3 linked regions of the Macaca fascicularis genome follow. The protein of the gene in region 1 purifies or fractionates together with the protein of each later gene. This does not show direct contact. Links are inferred from orthologs where the notes say so. Each region holds a gene or a part of one and is shown in the gene's direction. Other genes may lie near its edges.

Region 1 (3,645 bases):
TTCTTCCCACCCCAGAACTCAGTTCAGTAACTTCCAAAATCTTACAATCTGGTTCACTTTATTTGGGCTTTTCCAGTGAAATTGCATTTGGTTAGAGTGATTTAAAAGTACTTTTGGTTAAAACATTATTTCTTTTCTGACTGCTATGCTGTATTGAAAAGACAGACTAATAATTATAAACCTTATTGTGGGAAATAGAAGTGCACCGAGATTCTGCAGATAAAGAAATAGTTTTCTGTTGCTTTTTTATGAGACATTGTGAATCCCATCTGGAGACCATTCTTCCTTTTAGGTGTGGACATAGAGAAGGTCTTCCTGATCTTAGTTCAGTAGTAACTACTCATCAAATGCTGGCTGGGTCTTTTGAGTAAAGTGAGCTTTCTTTCTTGGGTGCCTTGAATCAAGCACCCTAACTGAGGGGAACTGGTGTTAGACTGGGAGGACTTGCAGTATAAGTGCTCTGGCTTCATAGGATGTTTGTCCATTTGACATGGCACTCATTCACCTGATTGAGCTCAGCTTTTAGGTTCTTGGTCCAAATTTAAGTTCTCAGGATCTGGTATCTGCCATGAAAGGATTATTCGACACACTACTTACCTTTCTTCCATTTTAGTATACTACTTTTAAAAGAACACCTGATTCAAAATAATGTACAGATTTATTTGTGAATATTTTGATTAGTATTATGGAATATGAAATTTTCAGGCACCACGTGCCAAAATGAACCAGCAGCGTTCAAGGAGGTTCAGAGCATCAAAAGAAGGAATGGAAGCAGCAGTCGAGAAGCAGCGAGTCAGGGAAGAAATATTGGCAAAAGGTAAAGAATATGTATCTTGAAGTTGGATTTTTTATAAGATGTATGCAGAATGAGGGGATGGTGGCAACTTTTTCTTACAAATAGGCAAGCTTTTAATTTAATAAGGATCCCAGAATATCCAGTGTTCACTGTTGAGGAAAAGTAGTTCATGAAATCCTACCAATAGGCTTAATAGGCTTGTTTATTTTCAAATTCTCCTGTAAAAGGGAGCCTTGGGAATAGGGAATTCTGGTGGAGAGTGCAGATTGTCAACCCCTCTCAGGGCCAGTGCAACTCTTTAACAAACTTTTATGTCTCTGTAAAATAGAAATACAGTAAGTACTATTTACTACTTTTCTCTGTGGCAGCTGTCAGAAAGCTATAGTTCTGTAAACATTTTCTTCAAATCAGCTTTGGTTTGCTTGCTTTTTGAAACTCAGGTCTATCTGAGGAAGCCAGAGGTGATTCGATCCACATTTACAGGTTGTTGCCAAGTCATTTGCATACTTTCAATATAAGTTGATGGAGCAGGCACAGCACTTATGGTTCCTTTAAGTTTGGAGGGGTGGGGTGGGATGTCTTCATTTTTGCAGTTCCCCAAAGCCTTAAAATTCCTGGTGGTGGTTGGGCGCGGTGGCTCACGCCTGTAATCCCAGCACTTTGGGAGACCAAGGCGGGTGGATCACGAGGTCAGGAGATTGAGACCATCCTGGCTAACATGGTGAAACCCCGTCTCTACTAAAAAAAAGCACAAAAAATTAGCCGGGCATGGTGGCACATGCCTGTAGTCCCAGCTACTTGGGAGGCTGAGGCAGAAGAATTGCTTGAACCCAGGAGGCAGAGGTTGCAGTGAGCCGAGATCGCGCCACTGCATTCCAGCCTGGGTGACAGAGCGAGACCCCATCTCAAAAAAAAAAAAAAAAAAAAAAAAAATTCCTGGTGGCTACATGGGTAGGAACTGACTAAGCCTCAGAGAAAAGGAGGATCAAGGAGTGTTGATGCCAGTTGGGATGGTTGTCTCCTACCATACCTGTGTGTGAGGTAGGGTATGGTTGTAGCAGAGTAGTTTGTTTGGTGTTCAGCTACTTACAGGGTTATAATAGAACAGAAAAGCCACAATGTCTTGGCTCCAGATAATTGCGCTCTACAGTTGAAAAAGGATGCCATAGTATAGTCACCTCAGGCCTCTAATTACAATACATTTTATATTACTTTAATTTTGCTGGAAGTGTACAAGTATATAGTTCCTTTAGCTGCAACTTGTAATTAAGACTCTAAAACCAGTTTGTATTTATAACAGTGTTTCTGATTTTAAGAATGTCTTTTTTTTTGAAGATGTGATGAAATATATTTGTTTCTTGAGAAGCAGCTAATAGTGATATAGAGGAAAAAATTGGATTTTTATATTCCTCTGTCTGATAATTGTATTTCTTATCCTGTAAAGCTGTGATGAACTCGGCCTTTAAAATTTCATTTCACTTAGGCACCTTTATTTTAGGAACTGTTAACAAAAATATGGCCCCTAACTGGTGTGTGTGTGTGTGTGTGTGTGTGTGTGTGTGTGTGTGTGTGTGTGTGTGTGTGTGTATAGTCTCTTGCAGAGTGAATAACTTCATAATTTTTATGTAACAGTATAATGTATTTTGTGTACCATATATTGTTTTACATTCTTGTTAAAACATAATTTAAAAGTCTGAGCATGATGGCTCACCCCTGTAATCCCGGCATTTTGGGAGGCCGAGGAGGGCGGATGACTGGAGGTCAGGAGTTCGAGACCAGCCTGGCCAACACAATGAAAGCCCGTCTCTACTAAAAATACAAAAATTATCCAGGCGTGGTGGCAGGTGCCTGTAATCCCAGCTTCTCAGGAGGCTGAGACAGGAGAATAGCTTGAACCCTGGAATGCGGAGGTTGCAGTGAGCCGAGATTGCACCATTGCACTCCAGCCTGGGTGACAGAACGATACTCTGTCTCAAATAATAATAATAATAGTAATAATAATAATAATTTAAATTTGAGAGATGGAATCTTATTTTCTTCCCAGTGAGGGAACATTGTTCCTCGGATGACAAGACTTCACTTCCTTTTGTATTTGAACTTTTTGTTTTTGTTGTTCTGGCTTAATATTGAGTAATGTATCTCACTTTTTATGGGGAGAACAAAATGTTGCCTCTTTTCTCTAGGTGGCTTTCTTCCTCCAGAAGAAATAAAAGAAAGATTCGACAGCAACTGTATTACACCAGTAAGTAGTCTCATACTTTGCTAGCTATTGCTAACTCTTAAATGATAGGTTAATTTGTTTCTTTCTATCGTTTTAGGGAACTGAATTTATGGACAATCTTGCTAAATGCCTTCGCTATTACATAGCTGATCGTTTAAATAATGACCCTGGGTGGAAAAATTTGACAGTAAGTTTCACATTTTGATACTTCAGAAAGATTAAGGGCGATCATTCAAGGCTGTACTTTGATATGACTGACATTATTTATCCTTCTGCCCTGCCCCATAAAATGCTAGTTGACTGTCGGAGGAAAGAAAAGCTTCCAGGGTTATTGGAGATGGGGTATCCTTACATGGTTAGGTTTTCGATAGCTGAATTTTCTCTTAAAGCCAATTTTGTCGTCTTGCCATCACTATGAAGCCATAAAATGGGATTCATGATTTAAAAAATATATATAGGAAAGTAATTTTTAAATGGAAATTTCCATTCTTACATATCAAAATATAGCAAGATTAGTAAGTTGTGGGTCTGCCTTAAATCGCTATGTTCCCAAATATTTAAAAAATATTTAAATGAACTTGTTTGTAATTTTAGGTTCATAAGCTGGCTTCCCTAATAATGAGAAATG
Region 2 (4,326 bases), on another chromosome or scaffold:
GTCCATGAAAGGAGAAATCATAATTTCTCCACCTTTTAAATAGCCAGATTTCTGCAATCCGTCCACCCCCTCTAGATTTTCAGCAATTATCTGTGAAAAGGAGGAAGGAATAGCAAACTAGAAGCAAAATCATAAGCTTCAAAATTTCTTTGTGCCTCCGTTTTTATGCAGTTTCTTTTGGTATGGCAGGAAAATGGACAATATTGTTTTCATACAATAGCTGTATTTTGTTCCAGCATGCGCATAAATTACACAGTTAACCTTATCTGACCTTACCTAAAGCGACCTTTTTTGCTTGATTATTCTGATTCATGCATTTTTACATCAGTCTACATTTAGTGAAAGAAAAAATTCATAATTTATATCATTTAACGTATTAATCTTAAAAGTGCATGTATACCTGGAATGGAAAACGTAATAAGCAAGCTAGCAGTTAGAGTACTTAACTGTGGGAAACGTAAAGTGGAAAAAAATATATAGAAGGAAAATATAGCTCTAACAGGGAGAGGTTTGGGGCCCCATAGATAAATAGGCACATTTCCACTCCACCTCCGGACATCTGCCGGTTGGTGGTAAAGTGGCTGATTTTAGGAAATTCTAGAGACAGAACGTTGTCGGGGTGGTGGTGTGCTATTGACCAAAACAGGAAGGCAATGCCTGGATTAACTAGAGACCTAAGAAACTGCGGGAACAAGCGCAATCGCTGCGGGGCCAGGACTAGCTTCGAAGGCAGCAAGCCTCACAGCAACACGGAGCCGGGTCCTCGTGTGACCTTGGTATGTAAGGAGACCGGCACCCTCATCCTCTTGACGGCGCCGAGACTCCGACGGCCTCGGAACGCTTCGCTCGGGCACACTGAAAGCAGCGCGAGACACACTTCCCGACATTCTATAAACTTGGAGGCCGGCTTTTGTTTGTTTTGGCCCCGCTCACACACACACGCGTCTCAGAGCCGGGACCATAGGCCCCGCGGCTGCTGGCGGCTCAAGGTCCCCCGGGACGCCGCCCTGGAGGACTTTGCCCGCCGCGCCCGGCTGCCTCCCTTGCCGGGCCCTGCCCCTCTCGCCTCTGCTCCCGGCGCCGCAGCTGACCCGGCGCAGGAGGAGGGCGACAGCAGTGCGTGGCGTCACAAAGCGAGGCCAGAACGCCTGGGGTTCCGCCGCGACTCGGTCGTCCCGGGGCAGCCCGACTTGAAATCCGCCCTCACAGGGAGTGAGACGCCCGACGCCCGCTCGCCCCACCCTCGGGGTCCCCTCTGTGCCCTGACCTGGACGCAGCGTCGCGGCGGCCCCGGCGCCGCAAAGCGTCCTGGGAGCGCCGGCTCGCGCCGGAAGAACGCGAGGGCGCGCGGCGGCGGCGAGGTTATAAAAGGGAAGAAGCCGGCGGCGGGCGGAAGTGGGCGGTTCGGCTGCTCCGGGAGCTGTTGTTTGGTCTTTGGGCCTCTGGAGGGGCGTTATCTGGAGGGCCGCCGGTGCAGGCCGCAGTGACAGGGCTGCTCTCCCGGCGCTCCGTGCCAGTCTCCCGTTGCAGCTGTGCTCGCGGCCTCCGCGGCCTGCAGGCCCAACATGGCGCAGGAGGTGTCAGAGTACCTGAGCCAGAACCCGCGGGTGGCCGCCTGGGTGGAGGCGCTGCGCTGCGACGGCGAGACTGACAAACACTGGCGCCACCGCCGGGATTTTTTGCTCCGCAACGCCGGGGACCTGGCCCCCGCTGGCGGCGCTGCCTCCGCTAGCACGGATGAAGCTGCCGACACCGAGAGCGGGACCCGAAACCGGCAGCTGCAGCAGCTCATCTCCTTTTCCATGGCCTGGGCGAACCACGTCTTCCTCGGGTGCCGGTGAGTGAGGCAGCGTCCCTAACCAGCACGCCCCGTTTTGTCTGCCACCTGCAGACCGGCGCTCGGCGCCCTCCGCGGGACCGGCCTCGGCGGGGAGGGGAAGTTGTGAAGCGCGGGAATCTGCCGGCCCGGCTGCCCTCTAAGGGTGAGAAGGGTGTCGCTGCGAGGAGCCGACATGATTCCCGGACGTCTGTGTGCCCCGTGGTGTGGGGGGAGCTGCTGGTAGGGTTGCTGGTGTTAGGGGCAATGCTTTTGGGGACGGGTGCTAGATTTAAGGTTAGTGAGGAGGTACCCTGCCTCGTAGACCCTGGGGCACTTGTTTATGGAGGTCCAGGAAACAGTTCTTGGCGGTTGGTCCACTTTCTTGATTGCAGCCAGGAAATGCAGTTCCTGTGGCCTGTTTTTTGCAAAGCACAAATAGGACCTTAGAAAAAACACTTTTTTAAAAATGGCTTTTTCTTCTTTTTCAGATACCCTCAAAAAGTTATGGATAAAATACTTAGTATGGCTGAAGGCATCAAAGTGACAGATGCTCCAACCTATACAACAAGAGACGAACTGGTTGCCAAGGTGAAGAAAAGAGGGATATCGAGTAGCAATGGTTAGCAGATCATAGATGTGAACATACATAGGAGTTTAGAGCATAAGTTTGATATAATTAGGAATTATCGTTATTAATTTTTTTAACAAGCCAGAATTTTTATGTTATCAATAAGTAATAAAGTTGGAATGTTAAACCTAAACTATGTATCTGTGTCTTTAGGCTTTGAATTTGATAGTTTGACTGCTTTAGATATTGAAGTGTCCACTGTTGTCTGATGCTGTTTTTTTTTTAAATATTAGACATTCATGATGTTATTCAACACTGTTTTAAGAAATTAATGACTCCACACTTTTTAAAGAAACGATTAGTCTTGAAATATTTTCACTTTGTGCCTTTATTTTAATGTGTATTTGTCTCACCCGTTTTATACGAGGTATTCTTAGTCATGTATCTATGTTTTTCTTCTTTTTAGAAGGGGTAGAAGAGCCATCCAAAAAACGAGTTATAGAAGGGAAAAACAGTTCTGCAGTTGAGCAAGATCATGCAAAAACTTCTGCCAAGACAGAACGTGCATCAGCTCAGCAGGAAAACAGTTCAGCGGGTACAGGGGCGGCCATCAAATCAGAGAGTGGGAACTCAGCTTGGAGCGCTGGCATCTCCAGTCAGAATAGCTCTACAAGTGATGGAGATCGATCTGTCTCCAGCCAAAGCAGCAGCAGCGTTTCCTCTCAGGTAACAACGGCAGGATCTGGGAAAGCTTCTGAAGCAGAAGCTCCAGATAAACACGGTTCTGCATCATTTGTTTCCTTGCTGAAATCCAGTGTGAATAGTCACATGACCCAATCCACTGATTCTAGACAACAAGGTGGATCACCTAAAAAGAGTGCTTTGGAAGGCTCTTCAGCCTCAGCTTCTCAAAGCAGCTCAGAGATCGAGGTGCCCTTGTTGGGCTCCTCAGGAAGCTCAGAAGTAGAATTGCCACTGTTGTCTTCCAAACCTAGTTCAGAGACAGTTTCAAGTGGGTTAACTTCCAAAACTAGTTCAGAGGCAAGTGTTTCATCATCAGTTGCTAAAAACAGTTCCTCATCAGGCACATCCTTACTGACCCCCAAGAGCAGCTCTTCAACAAATACATCGCTGCTAACTTCCAAAAGCACTTCCCAGGTGGCTGCGTCACTTCTAGCTTCCAAGAGCAGCTCCCAGACCAGTGGCTCACTGGTTTCCAAAAGCACTTCCTTAGCAAGTGTGTCCCAGTTGGCTTCTAAGAGTAGTTCTCAGACCAGCACCTCACAGCTGCCTTCTAAAAGTACTTCACAGTCAAGTGAGAGTGCTGTCAAATTCTCTTGCAAGTTAACCAATGAAGATGTGAAACAGAAGCAGCCTTTTTTCAATAGACTGTATAAAACGGTGGCATGGAAGTTGGTAGCTGTTGGTGGCTTTAGTCCCAATGTGAATCATGGAGAGCTTCTAAATGCAGCTATTGAGGCTCTGAAAGCAACACTGGATGTATTTTTTGTCCCACTAAAAGAATTAGCAGATCTGCCTCAAAATAAGAGCTCTCAAGAAAGTATTGTTTGTGAATTGAGGTGCAAGTCTGTGTATTTGGGCACTGGCTGTGGAAAAAGCAAAGAAAATGCAAAAGCAGTTGCATCAAGAGAAGCATTGAAGTTATTTCTCAAGAAAAAGGTGGTGGTAAAAATATGTAAAAGGAAATACAGAGGCAGTGAAATAGAAGATCTAGTACTCCTTGATGAAGAATCGAGGCCTGTAAACTTACCTCCAGCATTAAAACATCCTCAAGAATTACTATAATGTGTCCAAAATATCACTGCATACAATATCTGGTATTTGAAGAGAAAAACTGACTTTTGTACAGCATAAAACACAGGCTTTCACAAATTTTGTATTGCTTTTTTTCCAGTTTTGCAGAAAATTTACATTCTAG
Region 3 (4,077 bases), on another chromosome or scaffold:
AACAGACAGCCGAGTCATGCCAGCTAAATAGAAACTTTCAGGACTAGCCAGTCGCGATGGCTCACACGTGTAATCCCAGCATTTTGGGAGGCTGAGACAGATCACTTGAGCTCAGGAGTTCGAGACTCAGCCTGGGCAACACGGCGAAACCCTGTCTCTATTTAAAACCAAATCCAAACTTGCTCATTTCCTCTGGACACATTCTTTCTGACTCCTTCCAGCATCTTTTGTAAACCCAGGTGTCACTGTTCTGGTTAAAATCCTTCAGTGGCTCCCCATTCTTGGGATCTAGCCAGGATCCCTGCCTGGCCTACTGGCCTTGCTGACCTCTGCAACCTCATCTTCTCCATTATCTACCTGCCCTGCCCCCCAGCCCCTCCTACCCCGTATCTTGCAATTCTCTTACCAGGCCATGCTCTTTCTTGCTCTGACCGACTCCCCTTTTCTCAGAAAATTGCTCATTCTTCAGTTCTCCAGGATCACTTCCCTGACCCCAAGACTAGATTGGGTCCCTTCCTTGCTTATTCATGGTTGTAGCACGCTGGACTTCTCTTTACTAGTACTTGTCAACGCTGAAATTCTCCACTTACTTGAGCAATTAGTTCACTAATATCTGCTCCTCCACTCGATGGTAAAGTTCAGGCGAGCAGGGCTCCGAGTGTGCTCTCATTGCCTCTCCAGCACCTAGCAATGTGCCTGGCAAGTATTCACCGGATGGATGGATTACTCGCTCCAGGAAGGCGGGCCCCAACCTGCGTGGCTGTGGAGACCCCTGGAAGTGGACCTATCTATCCCTGACCCGGGCCCCCTGATATCCCTTAGGATGAGGCGGTGCCTGGGAAACTCCCAGGGCAAGAAAGATACAGCATAGCTCTGACTGGCATCCAGCTGCCAACTGGAAGAGGGCGCTCCGACTCTGTGCTTAGGGACCTCAGTTTTCCCACCGGTTCCCAGCAGGGTCGACCGCGAAGGGCCCTTGCAGCCCTGGGTAGACCCAGGGCATGCGCCGCGGGCTGCGGCGGTCTGAGGAGCCAGGAGCCGCTCTGTGCCCCCGCAGGCCGCCGCTCCGGGCGAGGGCGCTCCAGGCTGGTCTTCTGGAGCAGTCGTGCGCTGACGGGGCCCCTCTGGCTGGCAGGTGGTGGCGCAGTGCGCGACGGGAAGGCGGCGGGCTATCCGGTCTTCGGCTGCAGCGGGCACCATGGTCGGTGGCGAGGCGGCAGCTGCAGTGGAGGAGCTGGTCTCGGGAGTGCGGCAGGCGGCCGACTTCGCGGAGCAGTTCCGCTCCTACTCAGAGAGCGAGAAGCAATGGAAGGCCCGCATGGAATTCATCTTGCGCCACCTGCCCGACTACCGCGACCCGCCCGACGGCGGTGGCCGCCTGGACCAGCTGCTGTCCCTCTCCATGGTCTGGGCCAACCATCTCTTCCTAGGCTGCAGGTGCGGACCCCTGCCGGCCGGCTGATCCTGTCCCCTCTCTTCCGACCCTCAAGCCCTCTTCCAGGGCTCACCCCTGACCCGAACCTCTGCCCCAGACTGAACCCGCTCCCAACCTCCATCCGCATTGCCCGGCCCGAAGACTGATTCCCACCCTGAAGGCCCCTTGGAACGATCCTTATCTTTGAGCCTCAGTTTTCTCTTCTGGTAAAAGGGTGGTTATGATGACTGTAATAATTAAAGGGTGAAGAGCTAAATACATGGCGGGTTCAAAAGTTGCTATTGTTATATGTATTACTACTATTATTAGCTCAAACCATCACCTTTGCAGTGTGCATTCGAAGTCCGTTAGCCTCTGTCACCTACATGGCAAAGTGCAGAGACAGAAACGGAGATCCCCATTTTACAGATGAAAAAGCTTAGGGAGGGAAGTGATGTAACTAGGACCATGCAGCTTCTGGCAGGTTTGATGGATTTTAACCACTAATGACAGGATGTAATCTGTATCCTGTGCCTTTTTGTCCTCACTCCACAGCCCACTGGGTCCTAAGTAGGAACCAGCTTTACCTCTTTGTTTTCCCTCTTATGAAAATGACCGATGCCTTTTTGTCAAGGTCCCAAAGCCCACTTCATCCTGGCTGCTGCACCAAAAGGACAAAGACCCGCTTTTGAAGTGCCTGATAAGGCATTCCCTTCACCCCTCCATGAGGAAGGTGGCAAATCTTGAGACTCCCTGTTAGAGAGCCTCCATTTTCCTGAAATTGTGTTAGGAAAATAGGGTGACTTGGTTTGATCTTGGTTTCTATACCTATTATGGTTGCCTGACTCTGGTCATTTGGCTCCTCCAGGCCTAAGCCACTTGGTTTTGCTTCACATATTGGGGTTTATTAGAACAGTACGTAGGGAACCAATGCCAGAGGCACCCGTCCCTTTTCCCTGACTTCTAGGTGCTCCTGGGAAATCCTGGTTTTCCATGGTTAGGCTAATGTCAGAGAATTGGGCAAATAAATAATGTTTTTGTTAGACTGACATTCCATGTATTTAAAAAATAAACAAAAATATTTTGGCCCTCATCCCGTATCTGAGAATATCTGTTGTTAGATGTACAGTGCCTCTGTTCTTCTAAATCTTGAAACATTTGCTCTACTGGTATTTATAAAGTCCACTTCTGTATCTACAAGCAAGAAGTGTTCACAGGACCAGGCGCAGTGTCTCAAGCCAGTAATCCCAGCACTTTGGGAGACCGAGGCAGGAAGATCACTTGAGGTCAGGAGTTCGAGACCAGCCTGGCCAACATGGTGAAACCCTGTCTCTACTAAAAATACTAAAATTAGCCGGGCATGGTGGCACACGCCTGTAATCCCAGCTACTCAGGAGGCTGAGGCAGGAGAATTGCTTGAACCTGGGAGGTGGAGGTGGCAGTGAGCCAAGATCACAGCACTGCACTCCAGCCTGGGGGATACAGCAAGACTCCATCTCAAAACCTTGTGCTGAACATGTATAGGTTTGCCCTGCAGTATCAGATCAGTTCTCTGAGAGTTGATTTTATGGTTGAGCAACCTGCAGTTTCTTATTAATTCACAATGACAATTCTTCCGAGGTTTTTACCTTATTACTTTTTATTGTGCAGTTACAATAAAGACCTTTTAGACAAGGTGATGGAAATGGCCGATGGGATTGAAGTGGAAGACCTGCCACAATTTACTACCAGAAGTGAGTTAATGAAAAAGGTAAATAGGATTTCCAAGTGTATGTGATGAAATGGTGTAGAGTTAACAGTCCCTGCTTTGATGACACTATATTAGAGTATTGTTTTTGAGTGCTCTTGTTTACTACCCCAAAGACCTATACCTTTTCATTATTATTTCCCCATAATTGGTATAACCTTTTCATAAGTAGTTGACAACACATTGTGATAAATTATGCGTTGTTGATGAGGTAACACATAAGCTTAACTTCTTCTGGGTGATTAGGAACATTGTTTTGAGATTTTTGCTTGATGTTTAAAAAAATGTTGGCTAGAATACTTGTTTCCTACTTGTTAAAAAATCTTGTTGGTAATAGAGTAACTAACTCATCCTTACCCTGGCCGTGAGTGCTGACCTGACTAGTTTGGCTTCTCTGATTTGCTGATAGGAATGTGGCTGGAGCAATGTCGATACCATAGCTGTTCTCTATCCTGTGGGGTCTGATCTCAGGCGATGGATTTTTTACAGTGAGTCTTGCCTAGAGTCTTGAATCTGGATGCTGGAGCTGGGCCTATAGAGAGTGTGGCAGAAAGAACCTCAGAGTATGGAGCTGGGCATCCCAGCTATTAATACTTTACAGAATCACCCCCAATATGTACTTGTTTCACATTTATCTGCTCAGGCAGCAGAATTAATTGCTCGCTTATCTTCCAAAATTCCTTTGGCACTTTATCCAGACCTCTTTTAAAGCAGTTGTGACCTTGAGGGAAGAGATGGTGTCTAAAGTTTTATTTAGTCTTTAGTACTCCCAAACCTAGTATACTTATACCCCAGAGAAGGTACTCAGAAAATACTTATAAAATCGACTGAAGCAATAGAGTAAAAAGCTACTGGTCCCTTTTTAGGTCTGCCCTTAGAAACATAGGTAAGCCCATTCCTCCACATTCAGGTCTTG

The links. Proteins that work in one complex are often made in the same cells at the same time.
Region 2: the proteins of XRN2 (region 1) and CDKN2AIP purify together in Homo sapiens (affinity purification with mass spectrometry; 4 studies listed by BioGRID and IntAct, with this or other methods). This does not show direct contact. The link is inferred for Macaca fascicularis from reciprocal best matches to the Homo sapiens genes XRN2 and CDKN2AIP.
Region 3: the proteins of XRN2 (region 1) and CDKN2AIPNL purify together in Homo sapiens (co-immunoprecipitation; 6 studies listed by BioGRID and IntAct, with this or other methods). This does not show direct contact. The link is inferred for Macaca fascicularis from reciprocal best matches to the Homo sapiens genes XRN2 and CDKN2AIPNL.

Annotation. Positions count from the first base shown.
Region 1 is NC_088384.1:65,998,641-66,002,285, reverse strand, and holds part of XRN2 (5'-3' exoribonuclease 2), read left to right. Parts: intron 1-705; coding exon 706-817; intron 818-2,979; coding exon 2,980-3,038; intron 3,039-3,114; coding exon 3,115-3,204; intron 3,205-3,645. UniProt on the Homo sapiens protein: Possesses 5'->3' exoribonuclease activity. May promote the termination of transcription by RNA polymerase II.
Region 2 is NC_088379.1:188,236,366-188,240,691, forward strand, and holds the start of CDKN2AIP (CDKN2A-interacting protein), read left to right. Parts: upstream 1-1,394; 5' UTR 1,395-1,565; coding exon 1,566-1,837; intron 1,838-2,307; coding exon 2,308-2,438; intron 2,439-2,853; coding exon 2,854-4,193; 3' UTR 4,194-4,326. UniProt on the Homo sapiens protein: Regulates DNA damage response in a dose-dependent manner through a number of signaling pathways involved in cell proliferation, apoptosis and senescence.
Region 3 is NC_088380.1:140,948,854-140,952,930, reverse strand, and holds the start of CDKN2AIPNL (CDKN2AIP N-terminal-like protein), read left to right. Parts: upstream 1-1,145; 5' UTR 1,146-1,198; coding exon 1,199-1,437; intron 1,438-3,064; coding exon 3,065-3,164; intron 3,165-3,570; coding exon 3,571-3,649; intron 3,650-4,077.